3 linked regions of the Tamandua tetradactyla genome follow. The protein of the gene in region 3 interacts with the protein of the main gene of each other region in a pairwise test. Links are inferred from orthologs where the notes say so. Each region holds a gene or a part of one and is shown on either strand. Other genes may lie near its edges. The genes, in order: VSNL1, HPCAL4 and FAM131C.

What was found.
Region 1: the proteins of FAM131C (region 3) and VSNL1 interact in binary tests that used the Homo sapiens proteins (3 or more experiments, as listed by UniProt). The two-hybrid records come from large-scale screens. The link is inferred for Tamandua tetradactyla from reciprocal best matches to the Homo sapiens genes FAM131C and VSNL1.
Region 2: the proteins of FAM131C (region 3) and HPCAL4 interact in binary tests that used the Homo sapiens proteins (3 or more experiments, as listed by UniProt). The two-hybrid records come from large-scale screens. The link is inferred for Tamandua tetradactyla from reciprocal best matches to the Homo sapiens genes FAM131C and HPCAL4.

What each region holds. Positions count from the first base shown.
Region 1 is NC_135329.1:856,135-863,554, forward strand, and holds the start of VSNL1 (visinin-like protein 1), read left to right. Parts: upstream 1-4,343; 5' UTR 4,344-4,574; intron 4,575-7,420.
Region 2 is NC_135328.1:185,698,972-185,706,094, reverse strand, and holds the start of HPCAL4 (hippocalcin-like protein 4), read right to left. Parts: upstream 3,102-7,123; 5' UTR 2,859-3,101; intron 2,718-2,858; exon of another isoform or gene 2,620-2,717; intron 1-2,619. UniProt on the Homo sapiens protein: May be involved in the calcium-dependent regulation of rhodopsin phosphorylation.
Region 3 is NC_135328.1:209,801,169-209,808,924, reverse strand, and holds the start of FAM131C (protein FAM131C), read right to left. Parts: upstream 3,021-7,756; 5' UTR 2,989-3,020; coding exon 2,967-2,988; intron 1-2,966.

The sequences.
Region 1 (7,420 bases), on a different chromosome or scaffold from region 3:
CTTTTCAATGTATGTTTCCATAATTCAAAAATGAAGAGCAACTAAAGAGACGATGCCAATTAAATGCAAGATGTGATCCTGGGCCAGATCTAGTGACGGAGAAATGATCCAAAAGGTCATTATTGAGACGTGAAAAAATTGGAATATAGATGATAAGCTTTACATCAATGCCAAATTTCTTGAATTTGATAACTGCACTTAAGGTGGTTGTGTATGTGAAAATATACCCTTAATCCTTAGAAAACGTACATGAAAGTATTAAGTTCAAGGAGCATGAGCTACACAACCTACTCTCAAGTGTTTAGAAAATAGATAGACGGAGGAGTGGGTAGGTGGAATGATATGGTGAATGTGGCAAAATGTTAAAATTGATGGGTCTGATATTTGGGGTGAAGGGTGTATCGGCATTCTCTGTATGGGTTTTGTATTTATTAGTTTTTCAGTTGTACTCTAAATTCAAAAAGGTATCAAAATAAAAAGTTGGAAGCAAGCAAGAAAGAAACCAGGGGAGGACAGGGAGAAATAGCCAACGGGGTCCAACAAATCCTAGACTGCTCACCCCTCCTCTGTGTAGACAGGCGTGGAATGGCCTCTGTCCGACTGGCAATCACAACTCCCTCACCTTGCCTTTTCCCACTTGTTTTAGAAACACATTCAGAAGAGTACAAACATGTACAATGAAACATGTTATGTACCAGAAAGTTTGCTGTGAAGTTGTATTCTAGGAGATGGCATCCTGTCTGACTTTAGGGGAGTTATTTTATTGATTCCGTCCATCCATATGTTACAAGTTGAGTTGTGTCTCCAAAAATACATGTGCAGGCTTCCCACCCTAATGCTGTGACCATAGCCCTATTTGGGAAAAGGGTCTCTGAAGCTGTGGGTAATGAAGACGAGACCAGTGCGCATGAGGTCGAGCCCTGTTTCAACACAGCCTGTCTCCATGAGAAGGGAAGAACGGACAGAGATGGAAGGAGGTGGCCATGCCGCCGTGGAGGTCAGGACCAACCCAGGATGGGAGGCGAACTGCCAGAAGACTGGAAGAGGCAAGGAAGGGTTTTCCCCCACAGGTTTTGGGCTTCTAATCTCCAGAACTGTGAAACAATACATTCTGGTCTCGCTAAGCCACCTGGTCTGTGGTGCTTGGAGGCAGCCTTAGGAAACTAAAACACCATACATTTTAAAAACAGGATAAAAAGTAAAGATACATGAAATTATCTTACATAACACTTCTCTGTAAAGATAATAACCTTAGCTTTTGGAATAAAGGCATTTTGCCCATACAAGAAAATTACTGCCATAATTCTTTAGGAATTTAAATGAATATCTGTTTTCCAATTCTTATCGCTTTTCATTTTCTAATGAGAACTTTAAAACACCTTATTTTTCTTCCAGTTTTCTAGCTGCCCTCATGCCTTAAGTTCTACAGTTCTTTCCTCATATTTATACACAAACATTTCTAACAAATGATATTATAATGAGATTGCAGAACCACAAGTTTAGACCTGTTGTACTGCTGGTATTTTCTCATTTTTACTGTCATTCTCAGTGTGTCCGTGCCACATTTGACACAATTGGGAATATTAAATGTGGCTGTGGCCATCTTTAAAAAGTATTCTTGGTTTGATTTCATTTTCTTTGCTTGAATCTTTGAAGGAGTGTGGTGGGAGTGAGGCTAGGAACCTGCATAAAGAACGTGATTTGCAACTGAGGAAAGGAAAATGCCTAAGTGTTTCTGGGCAACTGAGGAATTTCTCCCCAGACTCATGAAGGAATAAACAATTCCCTGCCCACAGCATCCCACTCCCCCTAAAATAAAATAAAATAAAAACCCTCCACCTGGACCTGCCTTGGGTAAAGAGAGACAGCGGCTGAGCGGCAGCCCCCACCCCTACTCCCACCCCGACCCCGCCCCCGGGCGCAGGCTGGGCCTGGCTCCTGCAAGCTCACCAGCGACGCGCAGCTCTGCAGCAGGAGAGGCCCAGCGGGCTCGGTCGGTTTAGATCCCTACTACGTTCCCCTTTCAAGGTCATGCTGCCGCCCTAAGGAGGGGAACCGCTTTCTGCAATTAAAGGACAGTTTAGAATTGGCTTCTCTAGTGTGGCTTCGTGCTACAAATAAAACTCGACCAAAGGGCATCTGAAAAAAAAACAACTGAACAAAAAAGATTAGGGCTCTAAAAGCCACAGAACAGCTGGCGATTAAAAATCAAGATATAGCATTAAGGGCTTCAAACCACGCTCTAATACAACGGAAACAACCCAACTTCAATTAAGGGGGAAAAAAGCCTGCCCAATCGGACAAAGCCGCCTTACAAAGGCGCAGAAAATAAATCCGAGGCGCGCGACCCCAGCACGGCGGGGCGTCGGGGGCACATCTCCCTGGACACAAGTTGAAAGGGAGTTGCATGGAACGAGGAAGTCACCAAAACGACCTCCGGGGCGAGAAATAGGGACATCTCTTTGAAGCAGAGAAACCGCCTCGATTGATGCCGATTGCGGGGGCGGGGCGCGGTGTTTGAGAATGTTTTGGGGAGAAAAACCGAAATGCCCAGGGCAAGCCGCTTCTGGGGAGGGAGCCTATAAAAGACGGAAGATTACTCCGAAAGCCTTGGAGACTGTCTCCCCAGCCAACAGAGCTGAGTTTAGCCACCCCCTCCCCCACCCCAGGAACCACGGGGCGCGCGCGGTGGCGGCGCGGGGAGCCCCGCTGCGCAGTGCGGACTGCGGCCCCGCAGCGCCGAGCCGCATCCCGTGCGCCGCGGCGCCGCCAAGGACAGTACCGCTGCCGCAGCGCGCCCTGCTCCGCGCCGCTCCGCGCTCCGGGTTTCCCGGGTCGCCGGCACCCGGCCGAGGAACCCCGCGGGGAAAGGCGTGCCACACGCCGGGTCCCCCGAGTCCGAGAGCGCACACCCCCCGCCCCCCACCCCCCACCCCGTGCGTCGCTTTCCAGAAGCGCGGGGCCAGCGGCACGCGGCTGGGTGCTGGGTGCTGGGGGCGGGGGCCGGGACCCGTCGCGCTTTGAGCTGGGACGCCCGAGGGTCGGAGCCTGGCCGCAGCCTTCGAGGCCCCGACGCGTGGAACCGCGTTCTCCAGGTTGCGCGCAGGTGGCCGGGATCCCTTCCCAGCTGGGGCCCCCAGGAGAGCCCTCCCCGGCAGCCAAGGTCTGCCACGAGAGACGCTCCTGGTGTCCCCAGCGCCGAAAGGTTCAGTGCCGTCTCCCCGAAGGTGATGGGGGAGGGCGCTGTGCAAACTGTCAAGTTCTCTACTTGGGGGGAACGTCCTTCCTCGTGGAGTCCACATCACTCCCCTCCCCCGGAAAAAGGAAAAATCTCGCCTGACTGTAAACGGCCAGTGCCCAGAAAAGTGCCTTTTATGGAGGCAGTGGGTGTCCGGGGTTCAGGCTGGGGGGCTGCTGCCCATGCGCGCAGCCTTGGGGTGAGCGAGCAGGCCGGGAACATCTGGGCAGTCTCCCTGCTTTCCTGGTAGGGCAACGAGCAGACATTTACTGGGCACGACTCCTTGCCAAGTCTTCTAGGCTTTGGCAGGCCATCGGGAGCGAGGCAGGGCTGGCACGCATGGGGTCGTTCAGGGACGCAAGGGGGCGTTTGGTGAGGGCCTGCACCCCGGGTTCGCAGGATGGGCCATCCCCTACACCCAGGCATATTCAACAGCGTTTACAAAAGGCATACAGAAGGCGCTCGTTTTTAAACCTTCGCTGCTGGCGAGCATGACTTGTTGAAGGTCGCACAGGGCAAGAAGCACACATTTCTCCCACGCCTGCTTTGGGCCGGGGCCCTGCGCCCCCAGGGCTCCAGCTGATGAGCCCGGGATGAGATGCCCCCGGCCAAAGTGCCCGGGGACTGTCCCTTCGGGGACCCGGCGCCCAGCTCACAGGCCTCCTCCGAGGAGTGTTTCTGCCGGTTTTCCTGCACCTCATGCGCCACCGAGGCCTGAGCCGGGGTCGGCGAGGCCCGACAGCGGCTGGAGGCAGGGTCCCCGCGTCCCCTCTCCGGCCTTCCGCGCCAAGGCTGGGTGGCCGCGGGGCCGAGCCCAGCCCGCCTCCCCGCGCGCGCGCGCCCAGGTGCCCGCGTGGCCCGCAGCCCCGCGCCCGGCGCCTGTCTACCTTCCCCGGAGTTTCTGCTAAAAGCTGGAGATGCGGATTCCGCGCGCGCCGGCCCCGAGCCCCTCAACTGAGCATGCGCCGGCGCGGGGCGACTCTGGGTCCCGCGCTCCCGCGCTCGCGGGCTGGGGTTGCGGCGCTGCGGGCGGAGGGCGGGCGGGAGGAGAAGGGGGAGGGGCGCGGGGGGAGGCGGAGGCTCATGCGCCTGCGCACCGGGCTCCAGGGCCCTCGGCTTTTCTATGGGATTCCGGATCTGCAGCAGACTCAGGCAGGCGGGCGCTACTGCGGAGCGAGTCCTGCTGCTCCAGAGCTCCGTGGGGAGAGGCAGCGCAAGAGAACCCCACTCGAGACGGCTTCACCGCTCACCCGAATTAAACACACCACATCCATACAGATAAAGAGCTGCTGAGTGCTCTCCTTCGCGGGAAGGGGCCCTGCGCAGCGCTGAGACTGTAAGTGGCCCAGGCGACTTGGTTGCCTTCGTGCGCGGTAGCGCAGGCAGCCGCCAGCGCGGTGCCTGGGCAGCTGGCACAGACCTCGCTTTGCACGGGTGCGTGCAGGCGCACGGGGCCAGCCCCTCTGGTTGAAGCTGGCGGCTGCAGGGTAGCGTGGGGGGGACCTCTCGGAATAAGGTGGGGGAGGAGGGGGTGCTGGCGGCGCGATGCGGGATTGTCTGAGGCTCGATTTCAGAGAGGGTGGTTGAAAGGCTGTTTGGTGCGTCTCCACGCAGGCGGGTTCTCTTGCCCAGATTTAAGTCGCTAATTGACGGGCTGGGAAGTTTTCCCGCTGCTGAGGGAGCTATGGAGCGGCCGCGGAGGAGCGCCAGCCTGCCCTCGGGGCTTGGTGCACGGTTTCCGTCGCGGGAAGAGCAGCAGGGGTTTGCTAAGCGAAGCGGAGCGGACGAGATGGTGTGCAAGTCAGGGCTGGTTTCTCAGCGGGCTGCAGGGTTCGGACCCACTGAGTGAGGCGCAGCCTGGGCACGTTCCTCTCCGTACCTAGAAAGGAGTCGATCATTTTTCTTTCTGATTGTTTGTCGCGGTGGTGAATAGGCAGAAAAAAAGGGGATGGGGGCTCCCGCCCAGTCGGCGGTGGGTTCCGAAAGGAGGCTGCGACTCGAGACGCGCGCTAGTTGGCTGCCTGCGCCTACCTGCCCCTGCCTGCGCCTGCCTGCTCCGGGCTGCGGGGCGCCCCGAGCCAGATGTGCCACTCTCGGGCCCTGGGCTTCCTTAAAGGAGAAAAGGTCGTTGGGATTTCGGTTCCGATGGGTGGTCCTTGCCCAGAAGCTGAAGAAGTGTCCTTACAAGGTCAAACTCCGCTTGGAAACCACCTCGGAGGCGCAATGGCAGCGATGGGGACGCGCGGGCGGGGGGCTCCAGTAAACGGCAGGTCCCTGCGAGAGTGCGGTGGGCGCAGGGCACTTCCCTGCGAGTATGCGGGGCTGCGCGGCGCGGTGGCCTGGGAGTGGCGAATCCATTTTCCTGGAGTTGCCTTCCTGTCCATATTTTGGAAACCAAAATAAAATGGAAATGCTGGCGGGTGTGGAAAACGCAAGCTGTGGACTGTCTGTGTGTGGCTTCCCACTTGAAGGCAAGAGGAGAGAGAGAGTTTTATTTCTACATATTAAAATTTAAGGAAAAATAAAGGAACTTCAGGTTAAGACAAATCAAAATGAAACTCTTGTAGAATCTCATTTTACCCCCACCCCGTCCAAGCCGCCTGCGTGTGCTGGGGGTGGGGCTGAGAGCGGGAGTCCCGCATCACGAGCATTTACTCGGTAACCCGCGCTCTTTAGGCCTCGCGTCTTCAACAAGCCCAGGAAAAGCTGCACTGGAGCAGCTTTTAGCAGACAAGGGAAGAGTGTGGCCAGTGTGTGATTCCCAGGGAAAGCTCGGGTCCAGTTTCTGAGATAAAATAAAATGAAAACTCCCCCAATAAGGCAGATCCTTCTTACAGGGATCCCTGTTTGGCCCTTTTATCCATCCAACTACCTGGAGCCTCTTACAGGAATTCATGATTTATTTAAATGGGTGGAATTTGAAGTTGCAAATTTGAGAATATCTCCTTAGAAACCCAGCAGTCATAAAGCCTACCCTGTCAGCCCCTTCCTCACTCCAGGTCACAGGGACCAGCCATTGTCACAATGGCGACTACTGCCTGCCCTCTCTTGAGAGGCGGCACCGGTTCCGTGAGGGGCAGGCTCCAGTGATTGATAGGTGCTGGAGGAAAGGGGAGCCCCGACTACATCACAGAGATGTTTGGTCTTGGATTCCCTGGGTCCTAGGCTTAATAAGGGTCAGATTGGGAAGAGACTTTAGAAGGCGTGAGGTCAGTCCCTTGTTTTACAAATGAGGGAACTGAGGCCCGGCGCCATGGAGCTGGAAAAAGAAATCAATTGACTACTAGTCTGTGGAATAGGAAATGAGTAAGTGATGTTGCGTGCAGTTGCCAGTGTGATGGTGCTGCAATCTCAAAAAAAAAAGAAAGAAAACCACCTCTGCTCCTGCAGCCCGTCTTTTAAGCTCGCCTCCGGGACCATGACAGCGCTCCCTCCTCTGCCTCTCTTTTCCTAGGAAGCTCTCCTTCCATCTCTTTTCTGTTTCAGCCACCGCCGATAACCTGCCTCGGCGGACGTTCTCTTGGCCGTTCCGGCCTCTGCATCTCGGGCAGGTTCTCTGGAACCCTCGGGGTGCTGGAGAGAAGGGGCAGATCAGACGCAGCCCCTGTTTGCCGGCGCGCGCCCCCCCCCCCCCCCGCCCCCGTCCTTCCCTGCCCTAAGCCCCAGGACCCTTCGGGGAGTCCAGCCTTCGGGACACTGCGGTGCCACCCCCGCCGTCCGACCCGTGCACCCTCTTCCCAAGCGGGCCTGGTGCCTGGGAGGCAGACCCCGCTCAGAGGCGCAGCCCTGCGGGATCCTCCGGACACGGCAGGTCGGGCGAGGCGGGCGAGGCTGCAGAGGCGGGAGGCTTAAGCGGAGCCCACGTGGGGAGCCGCGCGGCCATTGCGGCCCTGGGCTTCGGAGGCGCTGGCGCAGCTCCATCACGTTGAGTCTGGACAGGTGCAGCCACGCAGGACACCGGCCTTGTCTTCCCTCCTTTTCCTCTCTTCCTCCCTTTCTTCCCTTCATGAAAATTTCCCGAGGGCAAGCCCAATGAAATCCTGGCCTTCTGCGCCTCTGCAGGCACCGGGGAGGATGCCGCAGCCAGCGGAAATGCCTCCTGCAGGGAGACCTCCAGGATTCCTACCTGAGGCGCTGGAGCACCTGGAGAGGGCGGGGGGGTGGGGTGGGGTGCACAGCAAG
Region 2 (7,123 bases), about 24 Mb from region 3:
ACTCCCTCAATTATCTTCAGTTTTTTCCTCTCCCTTTCGCCTAGTTCTAACTTGCCACCAAGTCTTGTCATTTCTTCTTTGGAAGTGAAATCAACCTGGGGGTCTGTTAGCCAACTCATGTATATGCCCATTCAACTGCCCCACAGGGAGTGCCTTTCTTCTGATTCTTCTGCTCCAAGGGAACACCTTTACCAGTTTTGCACAGAAGTACAATACACTAGAGGTGGCCATGCCCATAGGTCCCCTCCAACTCTAAGATCCTCTAGAATCTGGCCTCAAGGTGTCCACCTGTCTAGCCTCACCTTCTAACGTTCCCCTCACAACCCCATACTCTTTTCAAACTAAGTTTCTCATGGCTGGGACCTATCTCACCTATTTGCTTAGTTGCTTTCCTCTCCTTTAATGCCCTATTTTCTCTTCTGGGCTGATGTAGGCTATAGTCAGCCTGCAGGTCCTGGCTGAAGCCCACTTCCTTATGACCAGCCTCTTCCAGCCCAGACAGTGAATGGTCAACAGCATGGGGTCATCATCTGGACATGGATAACCCTAGGAGGCCATGGAGTCCAGCCTTCACAAGCATGTAGACTTCAGAGCTCTGTGACCTTTGCCTGATGCTCTAGAATCCCAGGGTGGAAGCTGATATGGGAGAAGCCTTTGCATTAAATCCTTGCCTGCACCAGAAAATGTTCTCCAGACCTTTTTGTTCAATTGCAAGATGCTTACCCCCTCCCAATATGACTTAGCCCACCTTTGAGCAGCTTGGACAGTGAGAAGAGCCTTTTTTCCATTGTTCCTTGTAGCTCCCCACATTGGCTCCATCTCTGCCCTCTGTGGCTACAGAGAATCACCCTTTAAGGACCTAAAGATAGTGCCTGGAACATGGTGATGTTCAGTGAATATCTTTTGGTGGAGTACATTAAAAGGGCAAAACTCCCTTCTTCCTCCTTGGATCTTATGTTGGGCTGTTTCATTTATCTGTTTTCCTACCATTTTACCCAATTCAGAGCAATGGAACCCAGACAAAGGGAAGGGAAGGGCTTGCTCAAGGTCAGCCAGTGCCCATTAGTAGCAAAGTGGAGGCCAGAATCCACCTGCAGGCATGCTCTCTTGCAGCTATGGCTCTGCTAACCTCTTGAAGGCTTCCCTCCAGCTGTGAAGAAGCTGGTACTGTCCCATACACAGAGCCACTGTCTCCTCTGTGCTCTGAGGCTTCTTCCAGAGGACAGGGCTCAGGGTTTTGGGCTTAGAATGCGAAGTAAGGGTGGGAGGGACTGAGGAAGGCAATAATCCCACACCCTCACTAGCTTCAGAGGAGCTGGTGCTGAGGCTGTTGCCATGGTGACATCAGCTCCCTGGTCAGGAGATTTTTCTCTTTTTCTTTTCCTTCCCTTGCTCTTCTCCAAGCAGCAGCAATAGCAGCAGCAGCACCCAGGTCTTTGGTCTGCAGCTGAGCAAAACTTCTCCATCTACTTGTTAATGAGAACCAAAGGGATACTAAACAAAGGGTGGGCACTGTTAACCACCCCCATCTTGGGGCTGTCCGTGCCTTGGAGGGACTCTTGTGGAAGAGGCCTGGAGAACGTATGGGAGGAAATGACTTGGATCTAGGCCTGGGTAAGAAGAGATATCCCTTTGGTGAGGGCTGAAGTTCCTCAGGCCTCTTGTCTGAATTGTCCTAATGGTTCAGGGAAAGAGTGAAAGGGTCTTATTTTCTCATAATCAGCCAAAGAATCAGAACACGTCAGTGTTGGAAGGCTGTTAAAGATCATCTCATCCAGTTTACCCCCTATCCTGCTCACCTCTCCCATTCCACAGTGAATCAGAGAGGGAAGTGACTTGACCAAAGTTAAATGGCAACTTGGGGCAAAGGCAAGATCTTCTTCCCTCCAGGTTCAGACCACTTCAGGGAAAGAAGCAACACAGTCCAATTGGAGCTCTGGCAGCAAGAAGTTGGAAAAGGGAGGGAGGGACTAGGTTCAAGAAGGCCACAGAGAGTATGACTTAGAAAGACATTTGAGAGGTAGAAGGAGAGAAATTGGTGCTTTGGCTGGGAGGCAGGAGGGGAATGGAGGAGGCTTGGAAGCTGGTCTCTTGGCTGCAGTGACTAGGAAGATATAGATAGTCTGTTGAAGGGATGGGGTTGGGAAGGGTCCCCAGCCAGGACGAAAGAGGCCAAACATGGGGCCTTTTCCCAACACTGGGGTCATAGGGATGGCCAGGCTGTTGAGAGAATGTCTGTGAGGAAAGAAACTGTGGTGGCGCCTCCCTCCCTCTCTCAGGTATGCTGTGAGCTCTGCCAGCTTGACGGGTGGGAAGTGGTGACACTGAGAGGACCATGTGAAGTGGGAGTAGGTTGACTTTCTATGAGGTTGTCTTTGGGGGCAGGGGCTGCATGGTGTGAAGAGCAGTGAGCTGCTGGGGGGGGGGTGGAGCTGGGTGTTGTGGGTGAGGGCTATTTGTGGTGGTGGGAGGTTGCCATGGGGCTGGGCAGACTATCAGTCTCTGAAGGCAACCAGAGGGAGGGTGATTGGTGCCTCCACTCACACTGGCCACACCACACCTCCAGGTGTGTGTATGTGTGTGTGTGTGTTGGGAGCCCAGGGAAAGGGTCGTTCCTACCTGAGCCGGAGGTAAAGAAGTGGCTTCTCCTCCCTCCCTGGGGCCCTCGGGGTCTGACTGAGATCGGGGTCCCCCGCCCGCCCGCGGCGGCCCTCCAGATGCTGACGCCTATGACGGAAGCGGGGGCCAGGGAGATGAATCAGGGGAGGCTAGAGAAGAAGATGGGAATGGGGAGTGGAGGGTGGCAAGGACTTCGGCCCGGCGGGGCGCTTCCGAGGTCCCGGCCCCGCCCGCATTACCTGAGGCCGCTCGCCGGGTGGCTGGCTGGCTCTGCGCCTCCGCGGGCCGCGCGGACCGAGACTAGCAGGCGGCCGGGCTCTCCGAGGTCCGCACCGGAGCCGCCTCTCTTGTATCACTATGTGCCTCTCCGAGGCGACACGATTTGCATAATTCCCGCCTCAGCTCGAGCAAATTTGGCGTTGATTGGCTCGGCTGGGGCGGAGTGACAGGAGGTGTTTCAGGTGGGGATGGGGTGGCCCGCGAGGCCCGGCTGGAGGAGCGCGCCCCGCCCGCCCGCCCGCGCTGACCTTCCCGGAGTCGGGAAGAAGGGGGTGGGCTGCAGCCCCATCTGCACTCCCACTCTGAGGCTCAGACCCCGGGCCACCGTCTAGGGTGAAAACTGTCAACGATTGAAAAGGATTCGCAGAAACAACCACACCGTTGCTATGGAAACCGAGAGCCACAGCCGAGTCTCCAAGCCTTCCCTTCCTGGGCCCCAGCAGGGGTGGGGGTGGATGAATCACAAGACGCGCCCCACCCCTCATAGCCCACCCGAAATTGGAAGGGGCCTACAAGAAGCTGCCGAGTAGCCGGGTGGGGGAGAGAAAACATGGGGTGGTCTAACAGCCCACGACTCTGAGCCCCTCCCTATAGACACCCACTCCCCTCATGCCTTGGAGCAAAGAGGAGAGAGGGTGGGCGCAGACAGCGCAAATATGCATGTTGAAGCACCCATCCTCCAGGTAGCCTCCCACTAGTCGTGGGCTCCTTACAGCCACCCCCACAGCCCCTAATGGGAATGGGACTCCTCCCCATTCAGGCCATCCTTATTTCCCAAGGACTTCCAGTATGCTTCTTAGGTTCTCTGCCAGAAGGATTCCTCTGTCTAACCCATGGACCCCTCCATTCCCCATCTTCCCGTCTTTCCGTCCAGTAGACGGAGCCCGCCCGCAGCCGCCGCCAGTCTCCGGCCTCGGATGTTGACACAAACCCAAGGCGGTTTACACTGAGAGGGTCTGGAAGGTTTCAGGGCCCCGAGGACACCTCCCTCGTGCACTGGGGGTCTCCCCGAAGACCGGTCAGGCCACCCGGGCTGCACTGACGGTTGCGAATCCCTGGCCCAAGGGGATAGAAAGGAATCGTTTTAACCCAAAACTGGGGGTGAAGGGGAGCAGGTGTCCTCTGACTGGGCCACAGGGAGGAGGAGCTTCTGAGAATAAGTCAAGCCTGCGGACCGGGCGTTTGGGAACAAGTTGAATGGGAGGGAAGATTCTGAGGGGTAGCAGTGAAGACTGGACCATGAAGTGGCTAATGTAGTGGCAAGCTGGGGGTTAGGGGAGAGTCCAGCCCCTGGTGGAGGATAGGCTTCTGGGGCTGGTCCCAGCAACTCTGGAGCTACTCGTTCTGGAGCAAAAGCCAATGTTCTTCTTCTTTAGAAACGGGTTTTGCTGAGCCATTCTTTGGGCAGCAGGCTATATTACCTCTGAGCGCCTAGCGCGGGTGCACCTAGGTCTCCAGTTAGGAGGCACATACCTGGTATCATCTGTGGGTAGCTCACAAGGTGCCTGAAACTCTGCCTCTGTTATTTCCCAGGTACCTTCTCTGCCCTAGGCCCAGGGGACCCAGAGATGGGTTAGAACTCACTCTTGCTCCATCTCTGCCAATGACCCCACATATGACAGTGGGCAAGATCCTCCTCTCTCTCTGGGCCTCCTGGTCTCTAAGATATGGGAGATAGTACAGAGGGCTATCTGTATTTCAAATAGAAAAAAGAATTTCAAATAGGAAGGTGAAGAAAGACTGACACCCTGGACAGAATAATTCAGCAGGCATAAATCTGACTGCTCTACTAGACTTTTGAGTCCCTTAGTAATTGCTAATATATTGAGAAGCTTACTTTGCTCCAGTTGCTATTATAGCACTTTATATGTATTACCTAATTTATTCCTCATAAGACCTCATTTCTTTTTGTGCATTACATTTCCTTGATGTTTTTGAAACTTGTGGTGTGATTTTTCAATGGTTTAATCCTGGTAGAATTGCTTTTTATTGCTAGTCCTATAACATCAGTGATACATAATAAAAACCAATATTTTAATGTAAAAAAAAAAGAACTCATGAGTTAGGTGCTATTATTATTCCCACTTAATGGATGAGGAAGTTGAGGCACAGAGAAGTTAAACTACTGGCTCAATTTCACATAGCTAATAAAACTGCAGCTAGGATTTGAACCCAAGCAGTCTGGCTCCAGAGACCCACTCCTAGCCAATACATAATACTGCCTCTCCTTAAGATCTTTCAAGTCCTGAAGTGGCAGGATCTTGAAAGGGAATATTCGCTTCTGATTCTCCATTCATCAGAAAGTCTAGTTTTCTGGGAGCAGCTTCTCTATCTCAGAGGCCTCCGAGACATGGAAGTCCAGTAGTAGCAGTAGAGCTGGACAAGTAGAAGCTTTCATAAACTGCAAAGGTCAGTGTGTGACTTCTCTTGGAGTCAAGCACAGGATCCAAGGTATCCCAGGCAAACATGAGAAGGGAAACAAGGGACATTTGGTAAAGCAGTATAGATTGATAATGCTCCAGCTCTTTTAAACCATGCAGGACCGCCATGCAGCTTGGCTCATGAATCATTCCAGAACCCCCCATGACTGCTCCTGTCATAACCCATCTCATCTGCTTCTAATATTTGACTCTGAGATCCTGACCTTGATCTTGCCTCTGCTCCCCTAGGTTTGATGTTTAAGGCAATAACAGCTGACATTAACTGAATTGCTTCAGCATGTACCAGACTTTCTGCTGAGTCCTTTATCTGCATCATCTTACTTAATCCCAAAGATACCCACTGACAAGGGTGACATTAAAAATATCTACCAACCCCCCAAGGCACTAACGTTACCAGTCAGAACCGGACTCAGTGCTAGATCAATGTCTTGGTGGCTCTCTATTCTGCCAAGAGTTAACACTTTAGTTCCTGGATCAAGGGGAGTGTGTATAGGAGAAGCTCGGGTCGTGGGGGGGGGGGGGGGCTCAGGGATATGGCTATGTATTTACCAACCAATATGGGAGAGTTTTTATATTTTAACTGCGAGTTCAGTGAACTGGTGCATAACGTCTGTATATCAGTTGTGATGTCATTATAGGACTTCATTTCACGGCAATGGAATGGAGGCTCAGAGAAGTTGTAATGCAGTACCTTAACGACAAGTTAGAATTTGAGCCTATGTCCACCTGACTTCAGGTACATGTTCTCATCCACTGACTGAGCTGTGCTCCTGGGAAGGGGTAGCATCCAGGACTGACTGAGCTGTGCTCCTGGGAAGGGGTAGCATCCAGGACTGACTGAGCTGTGCTCCTGGGAAGGGGTAGCATCCAGGACTGAACTGGGGTTTCCACTGTTATGAGGCTGAAGGCTGAGCCAGAAGAATAAGGTTTAAGCTCTGGAACTTTATTGTGGTCTTTCTGTTCTCAAGCGTGGCGCCTTGGCAAACACCTATTCCATGTGTTGGAGGAGCAGGTCCTGCAGAATGAGGAAGGCAGAGGAGGCTGTGTGAAAAAGGGAACAGTGTGGCTGCGTGGGAGGCCCCCAAAGGGTACTCTAAGAGGGATGTGAATCTAATCGGACTTTGAGATCTGCATGCAGTGACCACTTTAATTTGCTTTTTGCTCCTCCTTGGCCCCCAAACACTGCCTTTATGATGGATAATGCCTTCCTACCTCCCTGGGTTTCCTCAGCTTCAGCTAGTGCAGCCTGGTGACAGCTGGAATTCCCATGGGTTCTAGATATTTCACAGTCTCTTTTGTGGCTGGGAGAGTGAGATCACCAGAGTTGAGTTCCTTCCCTTTCTCCTATTGGCTAAGCAAGATTTATTTTTAAATTCCAAAATAGAAATCTCTCTATTATCTTTTCTTGGTGGCTAAAAAATGAGACAAAGAAAGTGGAAGTTCTCTGTGATCCTTCCCTTGAAAGATAACTGCTGCAGGAGATTTTGTGTTTTAGCTTGTCCTGCATTCTGCATGTATTCCCCCTTCTCCTGCTGGAGAAGCATAGAGTGTAGTAGCTTAAGTGCAAAGACTCTATAGCCAGGCTGCCTGGATTTGCCTCCCATTTCTATCACTTACCAGCTGTGTGATCATGGACAATTTCTCAACTTCTCTGTGTCTCAGTTTCCTCATCTGTGAAATAGGGATGGTGATAACAGTACCTATCTCATAAGACTATCCTGAGGATTTAAATGAGTTAATATATACAAAGTGATTAGAACAGATTTTGCTGTGGGAAATTGCCC
Region 3 (7,756 bases):
TCAGCCTAGCTTAGCACGTAACAAACAGTAGCTTAAATATAGATAACACAAAACAGCTCCTGAAAACAGCATCTGTGGCCTTAATCTGGTCCCAATCACTTTCCCGATGTCCTCAGCATCACAGATGTCTGCCACCCACTTCTTTTCCAACGAGACAAGCTGGGGCCTGAAGCCTCTGTTGCTTCCCCTTTCCCAGCCAAGATGGTCTGGATTGGCTGTCTGCACAGAAGAGTGAATATAAAAATTTAAAACAAAACAGCTAACAGGTTGGAGTAGCTTGCTGCATGAGTGCTGGACCAAGGCATTTAACTCCCCCAACAACCTGTTAGTATTCCCATTGTAGAGATGAGGACACCGAGGTTAAGAAACTTTTGAGGTCCCACAGCTAGTGAAGGGTGGGGACTCAAACCCAGGCTGGCCGGCTCCAGAGCCTGCCTCCTAACCTCCCGGGCCTGGTGTAGAAGCTAACTGCTGCCTGGTGCTGGGACAGGCTAAGGTCTCCCAGGTGTGACTTGTACCTAAATTTCGGCTGGGATGGCCCCACTGGGTGCACACGTGGGGCTCAGTACGAGCATCAGCCTGATAAGGCTCACAAGCCTAGGCCTGGGCTTTGGGCTGCGTACCTGACTCAGGGAAGTACTTGCAGCAGGGAGGCTGGGGTTGGCCACTGGCACCAAGGTGTGGCGCGGAGGTGTGGGGCACAGAAGCCCAGGGAAGCCTGCAGCTGGACGGGAGCAGGACAAGTGCCAGCGGTGGGGTCAGGGTTGGCTGTGGCTGGGGGTCCTGGCTCTGCTGTTAGCATACCTGGGTTCAAATCCTGGCTCAGCTATTTCCTAGATCTGACTTGTGAGAAGTTCCTCAACTGCCCTCTGCTCAGTTTCTCCATCTGTAAAATGGGGATAGTGATAGTTGATCTTCTGCTAGTTGTATCTAGAACTGTCAGAACAGTACCTGGTAAGCTGTAAACACTCAAAAAGTACTAGTAATTATTAGAGGGGTGGGTCTGGGTCTGGGTCACGCAGACTGTAGAGGACAATGTCCCAGCAGCTCCTTGTACCTCCTTTGACCTTTGTCCAGATGGCCTGGTGCATATTGGGACTATAAGTGGTCCCATCCTCTCCACAGGGAGATGAGGTTGGAATTCACAGCTAGGTCTGGGAGTGGGCCAGGCTGCAGGAAGAAGGGTGGAGAGTGCATGTGGGGCTGGTGAGACCCCAAACAGGCCTGGCAGAGGGTGCTGTGCAGGGAGGGAGCACCGGGCAGGGGGCCCAGCCCCGGCTGGACACTGTCTTGGCAGGCATCCCTTCCCCTGTGGCCTGTCTGTAGTGCCCAGTGGGTCCACAGCTCACAGGGATATTCATTGGGGGCTGGGTCTCCACGGTGCTGGCACAGAAGGCCAAGTGACGGAGAAGGGACAGTTACCAAGGAAACACCAGATCCCAGACCCCCACCACCTGGAAACAGTCTCAGACAGAGACCACCCAGCGCTTTCGGGGTTTCTGGAGACAATGAGCCTGTGACTCCTAAACAACCCTAAACCCTTTTCACTCTTAAAACTACCTTCCCCTCTGGCTGGGCTGTGGTGGGATGCTCAGGTGGAGCACGTGCCTGGCACACAGTAGGTACCATGTTATACCATGTTACTATCAACTTAATGAAAGAATAAATGAAGCTCAAAAAGCCTGACCCTGTTCCTTCCCACCCCACCCACAATCCCATCCCAACACCCTCAAGAGGTATCTTGAGCCATTCACCCAAATGGTCCCCATGACACCTTTAGTGTGAGCAGAGCCCCTTAGAGCACAGAGGAAGGCGGGAGGGCTGGGCTCCCCCTGCCAGGACACAGTCCCCTCCAGGGCCTGCCCGACCCCTCCCCAAGGCCTATTCATCTCACATGAGAAGGCGATTGGGGTGATGGGTGGGGTGGTTGGGGTCAGCGGGTTTGGCCTCAGGCTGCAGAGCCCAAGCCAAGGCCGCAGCCACCCCCAGCCCCGCGCCCCTGGCCCCACCGTGGGGTGAAGTGCTCCAGGTGGGAGAGTGGCCCAGCTCTAGCTTTTTGCTAAAATGTTGCTCAGCAGCCTGAGGTTCCCCTGGGAAGCCGGGACTGGGGGAGTGGGGGTGGGGGCTCCAAAGACCAATCTGCCCATCCCCCAGCCTCTGAGAAAGGCTCCTTGGCCCCCACTTCCATGCCTGCCCTGGTCCCCCAGGCAAGGGCAGTGCACTCCAGCTCCACGGGTGCTACCCTGGGGAAAATGGGGAGGGTGGGTGTCAGGGGCAGGAGGAGTGCCCAGCCAGGACTGGAGCAGAGGGTGAGGGGCTCAGAGACAGAGGGACAGACCCAGGGGTTCCTGGAAACCCAGCTGCTCTCTGTCCTTCTTCTCCCCTGACCAGAACTAGGATGAAGGAAGGCGGGCCAAGGGTGTGGGATGGCAAACCTTTACCACCTGTTCACCTCCCTTAACCCCTTCCTGCCAGGGGGGTTCAGGGACTCTAAAGATAAGATTTGAGCATGAGGGAGAGGAGGGAAGGAGCTGGGGGGAGGAGGGGGTGCTGGGGGCCTGGCCTGGGTGTGTGTGTGTGGGGGGGTCTGCTTGTTCCCTGGTGCCCCCTCAGTTCCTCCACAAAGCTGGGTCAGAAACCCCCTCCCCTCCAAGGCACACCTCAGGGGGTGTGTGGCTGTCGGCGAGGAAGCATGGCACAGGGACCCAGCTTCCTGCCAACTGCCCACGAGCCGGGAGGGGGCCGCGGATGCGGTGACCTCCGGGCGCTCTCTCCCTGGACCCCGGCCAGCCCGTCGCGCACCCTGTCCGTCTCCCAGCTCCGCGACCCTGGGGTCCGGCTGCTTTAGGGGCAGGGGTCGCCTCCCCCATTCCTCCCCCCTCCCCACCCCCAGCTCCCGGAGCGCGCACGCGTCCTCAGCGCGGGGACCCAGCCTCCCGCCCACCCCCGGCCCGCGGTGCCCTCACCTCGCGACACGCAGGAGCCCATCACGGGGCCGCGGGGCCGGGCCGCTGCGCCTTGGGTGCGTCGCGCCGCGGGGCGCTCATGTCTCCGCGGGCCGGGGGCTGCACGCGCGGCGCGGGCGCCCTGGCGGGAGGGCGGCGGGCGGACAGCGAGGCAGGGGCGGCTGGGCTCGGCCTCCGCTCCCGCCCCGTGGCCGCCGCCTCCTGCGCCGCGCCCGCTCCTGCCGGTCGCCGGTGGTACCGCGGGGCGGGGCGCGGCGGGACGGGGCGGGGCGGGGGGCCCCGGGGGACCCGAGCGTGCGGGGCTGCGCGGGGCTGGGTGGGGCGGGAGTCGCGCCCGCAGGTCCTGTCCGTCCCCCAACCGCCACCCCCCGCCACCTCTCACCCACGCACCTGTACCGCCGTCCCCCCACTCCCCCCCGCTGGAGGACTCGGGGATGAGAGGGGGACCTCTGCCCTCAGACCCCCCGCGCCACCTGCTGACTTGGGCTGAAGGTCAGGGAAAGGGATATGGGGGGGCGGGGAGGGGGCGGAGAGAGTTCTGGCATATGAGGCATAAAGGAAATAGCATTAATTTAATAATCATAATAATAACGTTGAGGACACCAGGCATCTGGCACAATAACTATAACTCCATTATCTCCATTTTGCAGAGAAAGAAACTGAGGCTCACAGATGTCAGATGCTTTGCCCAGTTCCCTTAGCTGCAGAGGGACAGGGACTTCTGACCAGTCAGCCCCTCCTTTGGGGGACGCTGGTCCAGGGTAGGCACATGCACTAGTGGCCTCGCTGCTGAGAGACAATCAAACCCCCCGCCCCCCGCCCCCCACCCCCCCCTCCATGGGGCCTGGGGGTGGGGGCAGCAGCCGGAGGGGCACCAAGGCTGCCTCTCCAGGCTCGTGAAGAGGCACAGCGGAAAGGGGGCGCTACTTCCCCAGCCCAGGTGCCCCCCCCCATGGAGCAACAGTGGCACACTCTGCTCACTTACATGCACACACAATTGTACACACACGCAAACACATGCACACACACTCACACTCTTGCTCACCCTCACCACACCCCAGCTCCTGGCAGGGTGATGGAGGTCCCTTAGCAGACCTCCCCCGGCCAACAGCACGTCATGATGCGCAGAGTGCTTGCTTTCACAGGTCTCACTCCATCCTCATACCTACCTGCACACCAGGTGAGAGAGCCAGGTTCCCAGGTTTCCTTCACCGAGGTGATGAAGAGGATGAAGAAGGTCTGGGCAGGGCATGGAGACCTCAACGGGGCAAGATCTGGGCCCGGAGGGACTGCTGGGGGTCACGTGCGTGTGGGTGCCCTTGGCCATGCAAAGTTCGGTGGTGTGTGCTCTGGCACCCGGTTGTGGGGTCAGCTGTCTGGGTCTGAACGCAGACCCTGCACGAGCTGTGTGACCGTGAGCACATCGCTTCACCTCCCTGAGCCTCAGTTTTCTCCTCTGTCAACTGGGATTGCTGCGAGGCTTCATGAGAGAACAGATGCAAAAGGATGGGCACATAGTGGATTCATAACTGAGGGCTAAAATGCAGTAGCAGTGGTGGAAACAGGCGTTCCCAAGGCCCAAGGAGAAGCTTGGAGCACCTCCATTCAGTGAATATTTATGGGGCACCTACTATGTGCCAGTGAGACCAAGACAGATGTGCCCGTCCTTGGGTCAGTGTTGTATTCGGTGGTGGGGGGGTGGGTGGGGAGGGACTCAGAGCCCGTCCTATCGGGCCTGCCTCCAGGTGGGTGTCTGTGAAGGGACAAGTCCGCCCTGTTCACCGCTGATGCCAATGTGGGCAGGTGTCAGGTGTGTGCTGCCCTCCTGTGGAGAAGGAGGGATGGGGCTGCCTGTGGCGCCAGGCCAGGCTCTGGTGCCCTGACCTGAAGGGTGGGGTGGGGGCGGCAGAGGTGTCCTTTCTCCTCTTCCTGTCTTGGAGTGCCTGGATTTGGCTTGGAGGGAGGGCTCTGACTCACCATGACGCAGGCGCTTGGTCACGGCTGCTGCCGCTCCAGCTGGCAGCCTCGCAGCTCTGGGGACAGAGGGGACAGGGAGGAGAACCCCTGCAGAGAGGATGGGGCAGCTCACAGTGGGATGGAAGCTGGGACCCCACTGTGCTCCCTTCAGCCTAAGACAGAGCCAGTTGGACAACGCTGGACACTGTCCCTACCTGTGGCCCATGGCTGACCAACACAGAGATATGCCGGGGTGGTAAGGGAAGATTCTGGCTGTCCCAGCCTCAGATGTTTGTGCTGGTCAATTTCACACTGACCAGCAGGCGGATGTGGCTTACTCCCCTCATTGCAGATTGGTATTCAGAGAGAGACGGGGCTGGCCCAAGGTCACACAGCAAATCCATGGCAAAGTGAGTTCTAGAACCCAGGCCTCTTGCCAGCCAGCCCCAGTGCTGGCAGCCCTGAGACTGGACCATGGCAGGGGGGGCTCCCCTTTGCACACCCACATTCACTTTCCCAGTCCTTGGAATTCTGCTGAAGATGACGATTTCCAGACAACTGCTAAAGGTGTGGTTGTCCTTCGCCAGGGGCAGGATGTCCTTTCCTGGCTCCCCCTACCTGCCCTGTGACCTTCCATTGCCTATCCCCAGGGCCCTCCCTCGGAGCCCCTGGTGGGTGAGGAGACCAGAAGAGAGAGCGCCCAGCAGTGTCTTCATGCTCCGAATCCCTTCATGATTTTGGGAATCCAGGCTGAGCCCCCACCCCAGCAGCTGCCCCGCTGTTTCCCATTCAACCCTCGAATATTCACCCGCCGTGATGCTGGCCCTGGGCTGGGCACTGGAGCGTGGAGAGGAGATGCTGCAGGGTTTGCACGGAGAAAGCCTAATCAACAGGAGCTGTTACAGTGATGAATCAGCCTGGGGGGGTGGGGTGGCATGTTCAGAAATAACTTGGGGTCAGCGCTGCATCCCACAACCAGCCAAGTGCTGAGAAGAGAGAGTTGCTTCTGCCAAGGGCCATGGGGAAGGCTTGAAGGCGACAGTGACCCTGGAACCGGATTGTGAAGGTTGAGTAGGATGTTGGCAGGCAGAGATGTTGGTGGTGGAAATGCTGGGGGTACACAGGGAGACAGGCGTATATGAGGTCTGGGGGACCAGTGGGAGAGGGTGAGATTTTGGATGGGGGTGTGCCCTTCTCTGGGCCTCAAACACCTCCCCAGTATTGGTTTTCTCAGGAAAGACAGAGCTAAATTTGAAGCCAGGTAGATCCTGCACCCAGAGCAATACATAGTAGAGGCTCAATAAATGTTTGTTGAATGAATGCAAGAAAGTACAACTTATACAGGGTCACATATCTGGAAAGAGGTTATAGCTCGGACTGATTGCATTCACCCAGCAAATATTGAGCACTTACTCTGTGCTAGGTCCTGTCTAGGGCTAAGATTTCAGCCCAAATGAGACAGGCCAAGTCCCTGCTCACAGAAGCTGAGAGTTCCAATGGGGGAGGCAGACACTGGCCAAGTAATGACCCCAACGAGTTTAGAATCACAGCCCTGAGAAGTGCTAGAGAGGAGCCGTGAGAGTGTAGAAGAAAAGGAGTTGATGTGATCTCGTGCTTGGAGGGAGCCCTCAGGAGGATGTGGCAATGACTGAGCCCAGAGCTGAAGGAAGAGTAGGACTTGGACAGGCAGGGAGAGGGAAGATGCTGAGGCCCCGCAAACAGCACAAGCAGAGCTGCAGAGGAGGGAGGGCCACGGTGGCGGGGAAAAGAGGATGGGGTGGGGGAGAGAGGCTGGCAGGAGCCAGCCTCAGCGGGGCCTCACAAAGGGGACCTGTTTTCATCCAAAGAGCCAAGGGAAGCCCCATCCTCTGTTTCCTCGTCTGTAAACCGAGCATTCTTCCATTCGCTCTTGGGTGGGTCGAGGCCCAGATGAAATTCCAGGTGGAGCTCCTGGTTTCTCTGGAGACCTGGCCCGGCCTGGAGGCCTCTGCAGGGAGCCTGATGAAGGAGTCCACAGGCTGACCTTGGGACATGTCCACTCTCAGCTCCGGACTTGCACAGTGGACTGGCAGCTGGAGTTGGATGTCAGTTTGCATTCCTCCGCCCCCATAACCCTCGGCGCAAGAAAGTCTAGGCGTAGGGAGGAAGAAGGGTGAGCCCCAGTCGGATGGGGGGGGGGGCTCCCAGTCTGATGGAGGAGACACAGCAACTCTGTCACCATCAAGAGACCAGCCTCATGAGTTAACAGGAGCAGTGACTTCGCCTCCAAAATGTCTGGCCCAGGCCTGGTCTGTGGTGGCTACTTCAGGACGGGATCCCTTCCTCAGGATTCAGAGGTCTCCTACCCCAAAGCTTGGGTCTCGAGATGTCCACTGGCAAGGAGGAAGGTCTACTGCTTTAATCAAGACAGAGACCAGGGTACGGGACCCCTGAGACGATTTTCCTCAATCGTGGGTGTCATGCAGCTGACGACCAGCAGGGGGCAGCTGAGACGGCAGCATTCTTTACAGCTTTTATTTTCCTTCCTCCCATGGCCAATTGACCTAGAAAGTACCACGCTGCCAAAGCAGCCACGGCTCAAGGCTGTGCAGCTTGTGCCCTGCACAAAGGTGCCCAGCTAAGGGGAAAGGGACTGGAACCCCACCTGTGCTCTGGTCACCAAGCCCTAAGCTCTGAAATGAGATTGTCTCTGGCCCAGTTGGGGAGCTTTTTTCTTAGCACAAAGAAAGGTGTCATCTTGCTAAGCTGTGTACTACGAGGCTGTATTCACCCATAGGGAAGGCCTTTCTCTAATGTGCACAAAGTCCCCATATGGTGCAGCAGCTGTCCTGAAC